3 linked regions of the Nothobranchius furzeri genome follow. The protein of the gene in region 3 interacts with the protein of the main gene of each other region in a pairwise test. Links are inferred from orthologs where the notes say so. Each region holds a gene or a part of one and is shown on either strand. Other genes may lie near its edges.

What was found.
Region 1: the proteins of eif1ad (region 3) and bend7 interact in binary tests that used the Homo sapiens proteins (3 or more experiments, as listed by UniProt). The two-hybrid records come from large-scale screens. The link is inferred for Nothobranchius furzeri from reciprocal best matches to the Homo sapiens genes EIF1AD and BEND7.
Region 2: the proteins of eif1ad (region 3) and glyr1 interact in binary tests that used the Homo sapiens proteins (3 or more experiments, as listed by UniProt). The two-hybrid records come from large-scale screens. The link is inferred for Nothobranchius furzeri from reciprocal best matches to the Homo sapiens genes EIF1AD and GLYR1.

What each region holds. Positions count from the first base shown.
Region 1 is NC_091744.1:72,597,871-72,600,555, reverse strand, and holds the end of bend7 (BEN domain-containing protein 7), read left to right. Parts: intron 1-47; coding exon 48-165; intron 166-244; coding exon 245-358; intron 359-434; coding exon 435-476; intron 477-873; coding exon 874-932; 3' UTR 933-2,056; downstream 2,057-2,685.
Region 2 is NC_091758.1:13,131,165-13,134,821, forward strand, and holds part of glyr1 (cytokine-like nuclear factor N-PAC), read right to left. Parts: intron 3,447-3,657; coding exon 3,393-3,446; intron 3,277-3,392; coding exon 3,226-3,276; intron 3,155-3,225; coding exon 3,081-3,154; intron 1,711-3,080; coding exon 1,611-1,710; intron 1-1,610. UniProt on the Homo sapiens protein: Cytokine-like nuclear factor with chromatin gene reader activity involved in chromatin modification and regulation of gene expression. Acts as a nucleosome-destabilizing factor that is recruited to genes during transcriptional activation.
Region 3 is NC_091741.1:29,807,889-29,812,133, forward strand, and holds the start of eif1ad (probable RNA-binding protein EIF1AD), read right to left. Parts: upstream 2,878-4,245; 5' UTR 2,735-2,877; intron 2,230-2,734; 5' UTR 2,210-2,229; coding exon 2,123-2,209; intron 2,026-2,122; coding exon 1,917-2,025; intron 1-1,916.

The sequences.
Region 1 (2,685 bases), on a different chromosome or scaffold from region 3:
AAAAATTAAACATACTTCTAAGATCAGGAGCTGTGTTTTGTCCTTAGGTGTGTGCCTTCTTTGATGACGCTACTCTGGCCAACTCTCTGCCAAATGGCAAAAGGAAACGTGGGCTCAATGACAACCGTAAGGGTTTGGACCAAAACATTGTGGGTGCAATTAAAGGTAAAACAAGATCAATTCACTCTTTGTTGCTGGCATAATAAAGACAAATGTTCTAATTATTTGAGTGACTTGTGGCCAGTGTTTACAGAAAAATACTGCACCAATCACAGAATAGAGAAGTTGCCAGGGCCTCGAGATTGGGTGCAGATCCTTCAAGACCAGATCAAACTTGCAAGGAGGAGGCTGAAACGAGGTCTGAAGCAGTCATTTGTTTTCTTTAAGTAAAATAAACAAGTTGCATATCGAAAGCTGTTCTATTGGGTCAATAGATGCTGCAGAAGCTGAGGAAAGCTCAACTGGACCATCGACCAGTAAGAACCTCACACAAAACTGCCTACATTTGCACTGGTTCTTCATCTTACATCACCTTTTCATCAGCCCCCCTCAGAGCACATAATGGCTTCACCTCTCCTCACTCCATTGTCACAACACACCCACAAATTGGTGTCTCTGGCTCCCTCATTGGCTCACCAGGCTATGGCATGCTTTCGCGCTGACATTTGACATTTTCATGCAGCTTCCCAAAATGTCAGCTAATTATCTTCACAACGTGCATCGTTTTCACTCTTTCACCTTTACAACGTAGCCACAGCTGTCAAATATCTAAATTCTCTACTTGCCACACATGCTTACATAAAATTCGCTGTTGTTTTGTTTTATAGTTCACAGCATTAAATTATATACTAACAATATTTTCTTCCTATACAGGCTGTGATTATAAGAAACCTGAATGTGACGAACACACACTGAAGAATGTAACGTGTTGATTCAACAGCTGCCTCGGCTGGAGTTCAGCTGATTATTTTTGTCCTCGTTATTTCTCTAACTGTAAGTGTTGGATTATGCCATTTTGCAACTGTTAACTATTAGGTAAAATGGGTAAAAGAAAATAAAAGGGCCAAACGAGAAAGCATCCATCATGAGCAAATATGGTTTACATTGTGTTAAATGAGCAGTCCATGATTGACATCCTTTTGGATCTGGAATTTTGTGCCAGGAAATACTGATGTAATAAAATAAAATAAGTGATTTATTGTTCACGGTTTAAGCAAATGCCTAAAAGGTGTGGAACACTCATTCAATCAATATGTTTGCAGTAGGAATGAATGCCTTATTAGTCGTACTTGGGGTGCACTGATGCACCATTTCCAGGAACTAGAAGTGAGCCACATCACAGCTGAGCTTCAGACGGCATGTTTTGGAGTCTGATTTCCTGAAATTCGGACAGCTAAACAGCTCTACCACTGACTCTGTTTGCTTTGCAACGTTGATTTTTATTTCCATATAAGCCTGGAGGAGTTCTGCTGTGTGGTGAAGTTGCTGATGCTAACAGTTAGCTTCTACTAGCCAATACATTCTCTGCTGTTTCCTGGATGTTAAATAAACAACAGCCTTCCCTGTTGTGGTCAAGATGGGTGAGTCCATGGGTATTTCTCAATGTCAAGGAGCCTGGCCTCGCTTACGAGGACACTGTCCTTCCTTGGGCAAAGGAAACGGTTAAATGGAACAGACTTGCATGACATGACCACAACTTCCACGGCGGTCATGTCTTGTCACGTGATACATGAGGTAACGTTATATTTTATGCGTATGAGTTTCAATATAAACGTATAACAAGCCTTATACTTTTTAAATTGTGTACATATGTAAGCAACTTATACCTGTTAGCAACCGAATCTGCAACTACTATAGGCAACTATATATATATATATATATATATATATATATATATATATATATATATATATATATATGCTATATTCTGGGAAATTTTTGACCAGGGCCAGGCTACAAGGCACCTCCCGTGTATCCTTGCTCAGCTCAGCTAGGATGCCTCGGTAGAACATGAACATTGGAACACACCTTGGCGGTTCCTGATGATGTTTCTCTTAGGCAACCGGGGCAGGACCAAGACGTCAAGTCAAAGTTCCTTCACATTAAGAAACACCCCATGAATGTTTGGTGACAATGTGATGTAGATCTGTCAGTCTTTTCAAATCGTTGAGTTTTCACCATCTAGTTTGCATGCAGGAGCTAGGCATAGAATTTTTTCATGTTCAGCCTGCATCTCAGAGTGGCCGATTATAATAAAAAATAAGATCTTAAAAGTGGGATTTCAGTGTTCTACACCTTTAAAGAAAATTTGCCAATATAATGGAGATCAGACATATCGAACAAGGCATAATGCTGTAAAAATGAACAGCATTAAATTATTGTTAGGACAACTCATCTCGAAAGAGGTTTTTCCATTGTGGATTGTGCCTTTTAAGTGACCAGTGGTTCAATGGGTGTAATGTGCAGCATCCACCTTGTTTGCAAACCTTATACTCAAAAGCGATGCATATTTGATTAATTTTTTATAATTAATTTTACATTGATTGGTTTAATTGTAATGTAAAAAACAATAGTCCTCTGTAAATATTTATTTTCAGTATTTTATGTATGCATCTTAAAGCTGTTCTTTTCAATCCTCTGATGAAATCATGTATTTTATTTATAAATTTGCTCACTGTGCATTTG
Region 2 (3,657 bases), on a different chromosome or scaffold from region 3:
CAAATGCTGTTGCCAGGCAGACCGAGAGGGCGGAGCCACTAACAAATACACACACACAGGCTCACGACAGCATTGTGACATCATAATGTACCAGTTTACATCATAGCATGCCTCTTAGCCAATAGCGGTGGCAGATTTAAATTCAAATACAGTTTTTACCTGAAAACGGCACAACACTGTCAGTTTTAGGCAGAATATTTAAATTTGAACTAAGATGCACGGAAGTGCCAAATTATTGACGACACGTGTCTGCAGCACGATTAGACACTCGTTTTAGTTTATCAGCAAAAAAAAGGTTGATTTGGGGGTGACTTGCGCTTTAACTTACTATGAATGACTACATTAGTTAAATATAAATGACTAATGACTGGAACAAAAAATGTATGTCCAAATGTTTTTTATAAAACTGGATAATGGTCACCTGTAAAGGTTCCTGAGCCTTTAAATGGTCTCTCAGTCTAGTTAAATTACAGAAATAAATGTAATTTTGCACAATATTTTAATTTTTCTAGCTTCACATAATTGTGTGTTTTAGCAGCATTTCTGTAGCTGCTAATCTAGTAATGGTTAAATAAATAAATAAAATCCTTTAAAATGACACTAGAAGAGGCACGAGCCTGATGGAGGACTTACATTTACTAACGTGGGTCAGACCCAACCACAGAAGAGCTGAAGCTGGGTGGTAAACACACACAGGTAGTTCTAATAACACCTGAGCTCCATGACGTCTGAGACTGATGCATCAGGGTTACAGCGGGACTAAAGACATGATCAGAAACAGGTTACAGCTGGATGATCTAGGAAGGTAGAAGGTCAGGACGTCTGAGCGGTGAACAGGTGAGCGGACCTTCGGCACGTCCCGCTGTCACGCTAAGAAGGGCACGGCTGCAGATCCACACCTGCAGCAGCGAATCAGCAGGTCTGCAGCGGTAGATTCATCACGTCTTCCTCGTTCTTCTCGAGCAGTGATGCTCTTGGATGAAAACATCCGCTTCACTTCACTGCACTTCAACACACCGCGCTGCTGAATTAGTAACGCATGGATTTTCTCATGAGTAGCGGAAACGGCGTTATGGTTGGATTACTCGTTGATGAAAACTAGCTTTTTAGTAACGCCATTATTTCAAACGGCTTCATTTCCATCTCTGACTGTGACGATGAAGCAGGAATGTTAAAGACATTTTAAAACGCCGGGCAGACGAGGTGGAGGTGAAACTGAAAGAGGAAAGTGCATCACATAATTACGAAAAGGGGGACATTTTTTTTATCTGTATGAATTTGCGATTTTTGAGGCAAGTTTCCACATGAGGATGAAACGAAAACGAGGACCACCTCACAGCCTGTTTCAGTGATTTTGGCATATTGGCCAAAAAACGCCAGTGGCCACATTTTCAGTGCCTCCCTATTTATAGGTGAGTACATCATTGACTGTTTGATGGACGCTGACTCCGCGCCGTCAGCCACTTCCCAGAAGTGGACCAGCCCAGGTCTACCTCCGGGAAGTGGCTGACGGATCCTGGAGTCAACACCGGGACCAACCTAAAGCTAAACATTCAGCACACAGATCTTTTACCACTAGCTGACCCCAAGCCAGATGAACATTACAGTACCTTCTCTGCCGTGCGGTTCCACACGGTGACAACATGGCCCATCTTCAGCAGGTTGGAGACAATGCCACTACCCATGAGACCCAGGCCCAGAAAACCTATCCTGCAGGACAAGAGCAGCACACTCGTCAGACAGTGGAGGTTTCGGCAGCCATCTGGGTTCAAGTCTTGGTTGTTGGAGTGAAATTACTTTTAGTCGACTAAAACTTGGGTTTTTAGTTTGACAAGTAATACTGACAGATGAATGTATAAGTCACACGGTTACACTGGTTGTTTACCAACATCATTTATTTTTAAAGAGCAAGTCAACCTCAAATCAACTTTTTTTGTTGATAAACAACATAAATGAGTGTCTAATTGCTCTGTAGACACGTTCAGTCAATAATCTGGCACTTTAGTTAATCGTAGTTAAAATTTAAATAATCTGCCTAAAACTGTCAGTGATGCACCGTCGTCAGGCAAAAACTCAGCACTGCATTTGAATTTAAATCTGCCATCGCTATTGGCTAAGAGGTACACTATGATGTTAGATGGTACATTATGATGTCACAATGTCGTGAGTATGTATTTTTTTGTGGCTCCGCCCTCTCGGTCTGCTAGGCAACAGCATTTGTTGCATTTTTCAAACAGGAAGTGAGAGTTGAGTAAGAATCTGGTAGGGGGTGACTTGCTCTCTAAGGCTAAAGGCAGAGAGAGAGAAAGAGAGTGGAAAAAAACCCCGAGCGGAGGCAGTGACCGACAGCACGAGCCGTTTTCAGCTTAGTCTTGTCAAATGCACCACGTACGTTACAAATATAGTAACTTTAAAAAGAGGCGAGCTGAAGAAAACCTAGGGAGTACCGAAGAAACGGGAGCAACAGTGAAGCACAGAGAAATCTCTCTCTGTCTGTCTGTCAGACTGAGACTGCAGAGTTTTGTGTATAGGGAGGGGCGGGCTCTATGTTACTGGCCAATCACAGAGCGTGAAGACAGTCAGTTACTCAATGAGGATTTTCCTTCAGCAACATTACAGATATTTACGAGTTTTACTCGTTTCTTGATCGTATTCGTCAAAAATGCTTTATCCGTACCGGATACTCGTCTCCGGCTCATCCCTACTTGATACCGTGTGACTGATCTCAAACATCAGTCACAGAAAAAACACCCAGTTTAAGAAACGTGTTAATGTCCAGAAGAAGCCTCGTTGCCCGTATTTCTAATCGTTTCACTGTTATTTTTTAGTTTTTGCCAAATGGGAAAAAATTAGCATTTCGAGCTTAATTTTCATCCCATCTCGTCCAAAGTGACAAAACTCATGAGAGTCTGGTCATGTTCAAGTCAGCAAAGAGCCGTTTTTAGATTTCCAGCATCTTGTTTCATTTTGACAAAAAGAGATCAGAGGGATCAATTAGTCATCATTGGTGAAAACAAGCGTGGAGTCAGGGCAGGAAAACAAAGGCCAGCGGTCTGCAGGCATGTGCGACGAGTCGGTACCTTTTATCTGTTGGTGTGATGCTGCCATTAATGGCTGTGCTGTCTGCTGCTTGGATAGAAGTTGAGCCAGTCACCTGTGTGGAGGAAGTCAACTGTCAGTGTCACCGCTTCAACAGGTAGGGTCTGAAACTCGCCCTGCGTTTACCTCTTCGATGATTTTCAGGCGTTTACTGATGGGCTCCATCGACGAGGCTGGCTGTAAGCAGAGAGGAAGGATGTGAGATCATCGTCACTGCACACGCACACACACACACACACACACACACAGCATGAAGAACAGTTCATAAGATCTTGCAGATGGTTTGGTCTCACCTTTTCAGACTGGATGAGCAGAAAGTGATGGAAGTGCGGATCGTCCTTGACCGGCTGGAACACAACAAGACGTCAGAATGAATGTGCTGTCAGCTAGCGTGGACCTAAAGGCAAGGCTTCCATCATGGTGGCTTCTAAAGCTAGAAATGCTGCTCATCTAGAACTCACAAGTTGCTCAGGGAGGAGCACCAGCCAGATTAGCCGATGCAGGTGTGAATGTGTGTGTAATGAATGAATGAATGAACCCACGGAGACATTCCTCACT
Region 3 (4,245 bases):
CAACACACACACACACACACACACACACACACACACACACACACACACACACACACACACACACACACACACACACACACACACACACACACACACACACACACACACACACACACACACACACACCTCTGTTATTTTCCATGAAGAAACCTAATCTGGTTAATTGAAGCAGAGATTTAAGAAAAACAAAATGCAGGAACAAACCTGACAATTAGAAACATTAATTTAAAGGGACTTTACGGAGTTTTGAATGTTTATGCTCGTGATTGCCCCCTCAGGCCAAAAGCGGAACGGCAGCTTCAATAGTAGGCTCGTGCACGAGGCGCGCATGCTGTACGTGCACACTCCTTAACGAAAATAACAGCTGAGACAGTCCCTTGTGTGTGTGTGTGTGTGTGTGTGTGTGTGTGGCCCGGAGGACAGAGGACAGGAGAACACGCAGCTAATTCAATAATTTGGTTCTGTACCTTTCTCTTCAGCACAGCAGACAAAGTGAAAAGTTGAACCCACATCTTTTTTATCTGTGAATTCAATGCCGTTCGGCGAGTCTCAAATAAAAATTTGGCCGTCTTACTGTAAAAAATATATCAATGTAAAAAAGAAACTCTAAATAAACTATGTTCACATCCAGAATCGAACCCAGGTCTTCTGCAGGAGAGTCAGACATCTTACTAGGTGTGCTAAAGCGCCAGTGACGTCCTTTGTATCTGTAACATTTATATCCTGTACAGCTGAAACAACGTTCAAAGAACGGTTCGGAGGGCGATGCCTGAGCGTGAACGCGCATGAAGCAGCCTGCTCGACCCGAGCATCTCTCTTTTTCTGTGATTTTACAGAAAAACAGGCAATCACAGTAAAAATGCCAGGGCTCATTCTACAGGACCAGGGCATTGCAGGAGAATGTATGAAGAAGACATTTATTATTTCTACACATGTTTTGGCTGTCACACTTCCATAATGCCCCTTTAAGTGAAGTTGTGGAAGAATTAACTCAATACTCCACTTGCCCAAAAGTAAGAATTTACTACATTAACTTGGCATAAAGAGAATTGACTTAAGATCTGTTTTCACTTGCATTGAATTATAAACACTCCAGTTGATTTTTTATCCGTTCTACTAAGCAGCATTTATATTGTGGTTCCTTGTTTTTTATATTGTTTTGCACTTACATGTGTATTTAATTCTTTCCCATTTTTGTATAATTACTTGACTTGTTTTTATATATATATTTTAAAATATTTTTATTGTTTGAAGACTTGTTTTCTTCTCCATTATCCCTCCTTTTGACATTGTACCTCTATTTTTACCTTATGTAATTTTATTGAGTAATCATTGTTTTACTTTTCTTTGCCTCCTTTCATTTTTCACCCTAGACTTCAATAAATAATCTGAACAAAAAGGAAAATCAAAAATGGGGATTATTCAAGCCAGCTGCCAGTCTTGCTTGAGCCCATGGGAATGGTATATGGCCTGTATTTGAATACCCCACAAGGTGCTTTACAACATAGTCATTCACCCATTCACACACACATTCACACACTGGTGGGGATGAGCTACGATGTAGCCACAGCTACACTGACAGAGGCGAGGCTGCCGAGCACTGGCGCCACCGGTTCCTCCCACCACCACCAGCAGGAAAGAGGGTTAAGTGTCTTGCCCAAGGACACAACAGCAGCGACAAACTGAGCAGGGCTCAAACCTGCAACCTGATTACCAATTACCATGACAGTGGTTATTTCAGTGACTCAACACACAAAGAAAGAAAACCTATCTGCCATTAAAAAATCATGAAAGACATTGAGAAATAGGAAAGATTTCAGAGAATAAAAAAAATATTTGCTCCTGGAACAAGTAGCAATGCTCAAAACTGGCGTGAGGTGTATTTATTTCTTTATTTTAAAAATCTCATCAGTTACCTCTCTTGATCCAGATGTTCTTACGGAACTTGGTGGGCATGCTCACCAGGAAGGTCTCGCCCTGAGCTGTGATTGTTTCATGGAGGTTGTTACCACGAGTACCAATAACCTGAGAATGTGCACAGGTACAAAATATAGATCCGAGTTAGAGAGGTACCTTTGAGTAGTTTTTAAAGCAGCTGGGAGCAAAAGCAAACATGGTTTACCTTTACAATCTGCTGGTTTTCTGTTGGGGTGACGAAGTCTTCCAGAACCTCTTTGACAACATGTTTGCGTTTGGTGGCCTGTGACATGATCTATACAGTTCAGCCAGCTAGGAATGAAGACAGAGGTCAAAAGGCAAGTAATAAATTATGTGATACAGACAACGTTTGTCGCACACTTTAAACAGACACCAGGTAATAGAATTGATCTACATTTGGCTTTTAGCTGAGCTAATATCAGCAGAATAGACTTCTTACACATTTTACCATGTGTATGTTCACCCTTAAACTTAACAAATACGAAACATTATACATATCCTTGTGAAATACTAACATGCCACATAAAAGTCGAACTAGTTAATATGACGTGGTTTTCCGAAAGTAAACAGTGCTGCGAAGCTAGCAAAGCTAGCTCAAACCAAGCTAGTGGGTATTCAACTTCCACGTAAACCACACATTTTCAATTGTCGTTGAAAACATAAAACCACCTTTTTGATCTATATCTTTAAGAGCTGGCGTGTTCTTATTTACTCTATTTTACATTAATGTGACTTTTAGCTGGATATGCTAGCATTTACGTCGCTGTAACATATTTTACACGGGTCGCGCTTTTACCTCGAAAACGAAGACGTAATGCTGTCCTGTGAGACAAAGCAGACTGTAGGAGCAAACAGTATAGCAAAAAAGAGCTTAGTAAGTCTATTCTTAATTATATGAGCGAAACCACATGCGTTTGAGTTATCTGGAAACACGCCGAAGAATTTCCGGTGTTTAACGGGGCTTATGTTTTCAGAATAAAAGCACCCATTTCTGAGTCTTACTCGTTTCCCACCTAATGATCGTGTAACAGGAAAGATTTCTGATAAACATGAATACAGTAGGAATCAAACTGTAGTTTACAAATCAGCCAACAGCCACTGTCTTACTAAGGTGGGTAATTGTGTGATTTAAAACCTTTTATTTTGTTAGCCCAAAAAAAATCTCTATTTAGTTCTTCCAGGGCTGATGTGGCTTGAATTGTGGACGGTTGAGTTTTATTTTAAAATGAGCAACGTTCACAATCACCCACATTTATAACCATTGCTACTACAGCATAAACCCTAACCACTCCTGTTTCATTGAAATATGTCCATAACCTTAGTTTACCATACCTTTTAAAATGTGTCATCACATTAGTAAAAATCAATAATACTAAATAACATAAAAACCCGATTACTGGAAAGCTCAGATATGCATTTATAAATTTCAAATACTACACTGAAAAAATGCATAACTTTTGTTTTTGCTCTCATTTTTCATGAGCTGAACTCAGACATCTGAAACTTTTTCTGCACCCACAAAACACCCATGACTCTCAAATTTTGTTCTGAAATCTGTCTACGTGTGTTAGTGAGCACTTTTCCTTTACCAAGATAATCCATCCCACCTCACAGGTGTGGCATATCAAGGGACTGATTAGACAGCATGAATAATGTGTAGCTGCACCTAGAAGTTAGATGCCACCCGCCAATAAACACGACGAAGAAGAAGGTAGTGTAGCCAGAAGGTCTTCAAGATGAAAGAATTGGAGGCAAACTGCAGAACAGTGAGTTTTTTTTCTTCCTTGGGAGCCAATATGCTACCCAGGCTTTTATTTCATTGCTTTTTGTTAAAGAGCAAGTCAACCCCTACCAGAGTCTATCTCCACTCTCACTTCCTGTTTGAAAAATGCAACAAATGCTGTTGCCTGGCAGACCGAGAAGACGGAGCTGCTAACAAATACACACACAGGCTCACGACAGCATTGTGACATCATAATGTACCAGTTTACATCATAGCATACCTCTTAGCCATTAGCGGTGGCAGATTTAAATCAAAATACAGTGCAGAGTTTTTACCTGACAATGGCACAACACTGTCAGTTTTAGGCAGAATATTTAAATTTTAACTAAGATGCACTGAAATGCCAAATTATTGACGACACGTGTCTACAGCACGATTAGACACTCGTTTATTTCGTTTATCAGCTAAAAAAGGTGATTTGGGGGTGACTTGCCCTTTAAGTCAGAAAAAGAATCTCCTCAAGCCTCCACATGGCTTCTTTTAAATAACATAGAAAGAAAAAAAACATGACACCTGGGAAAAAT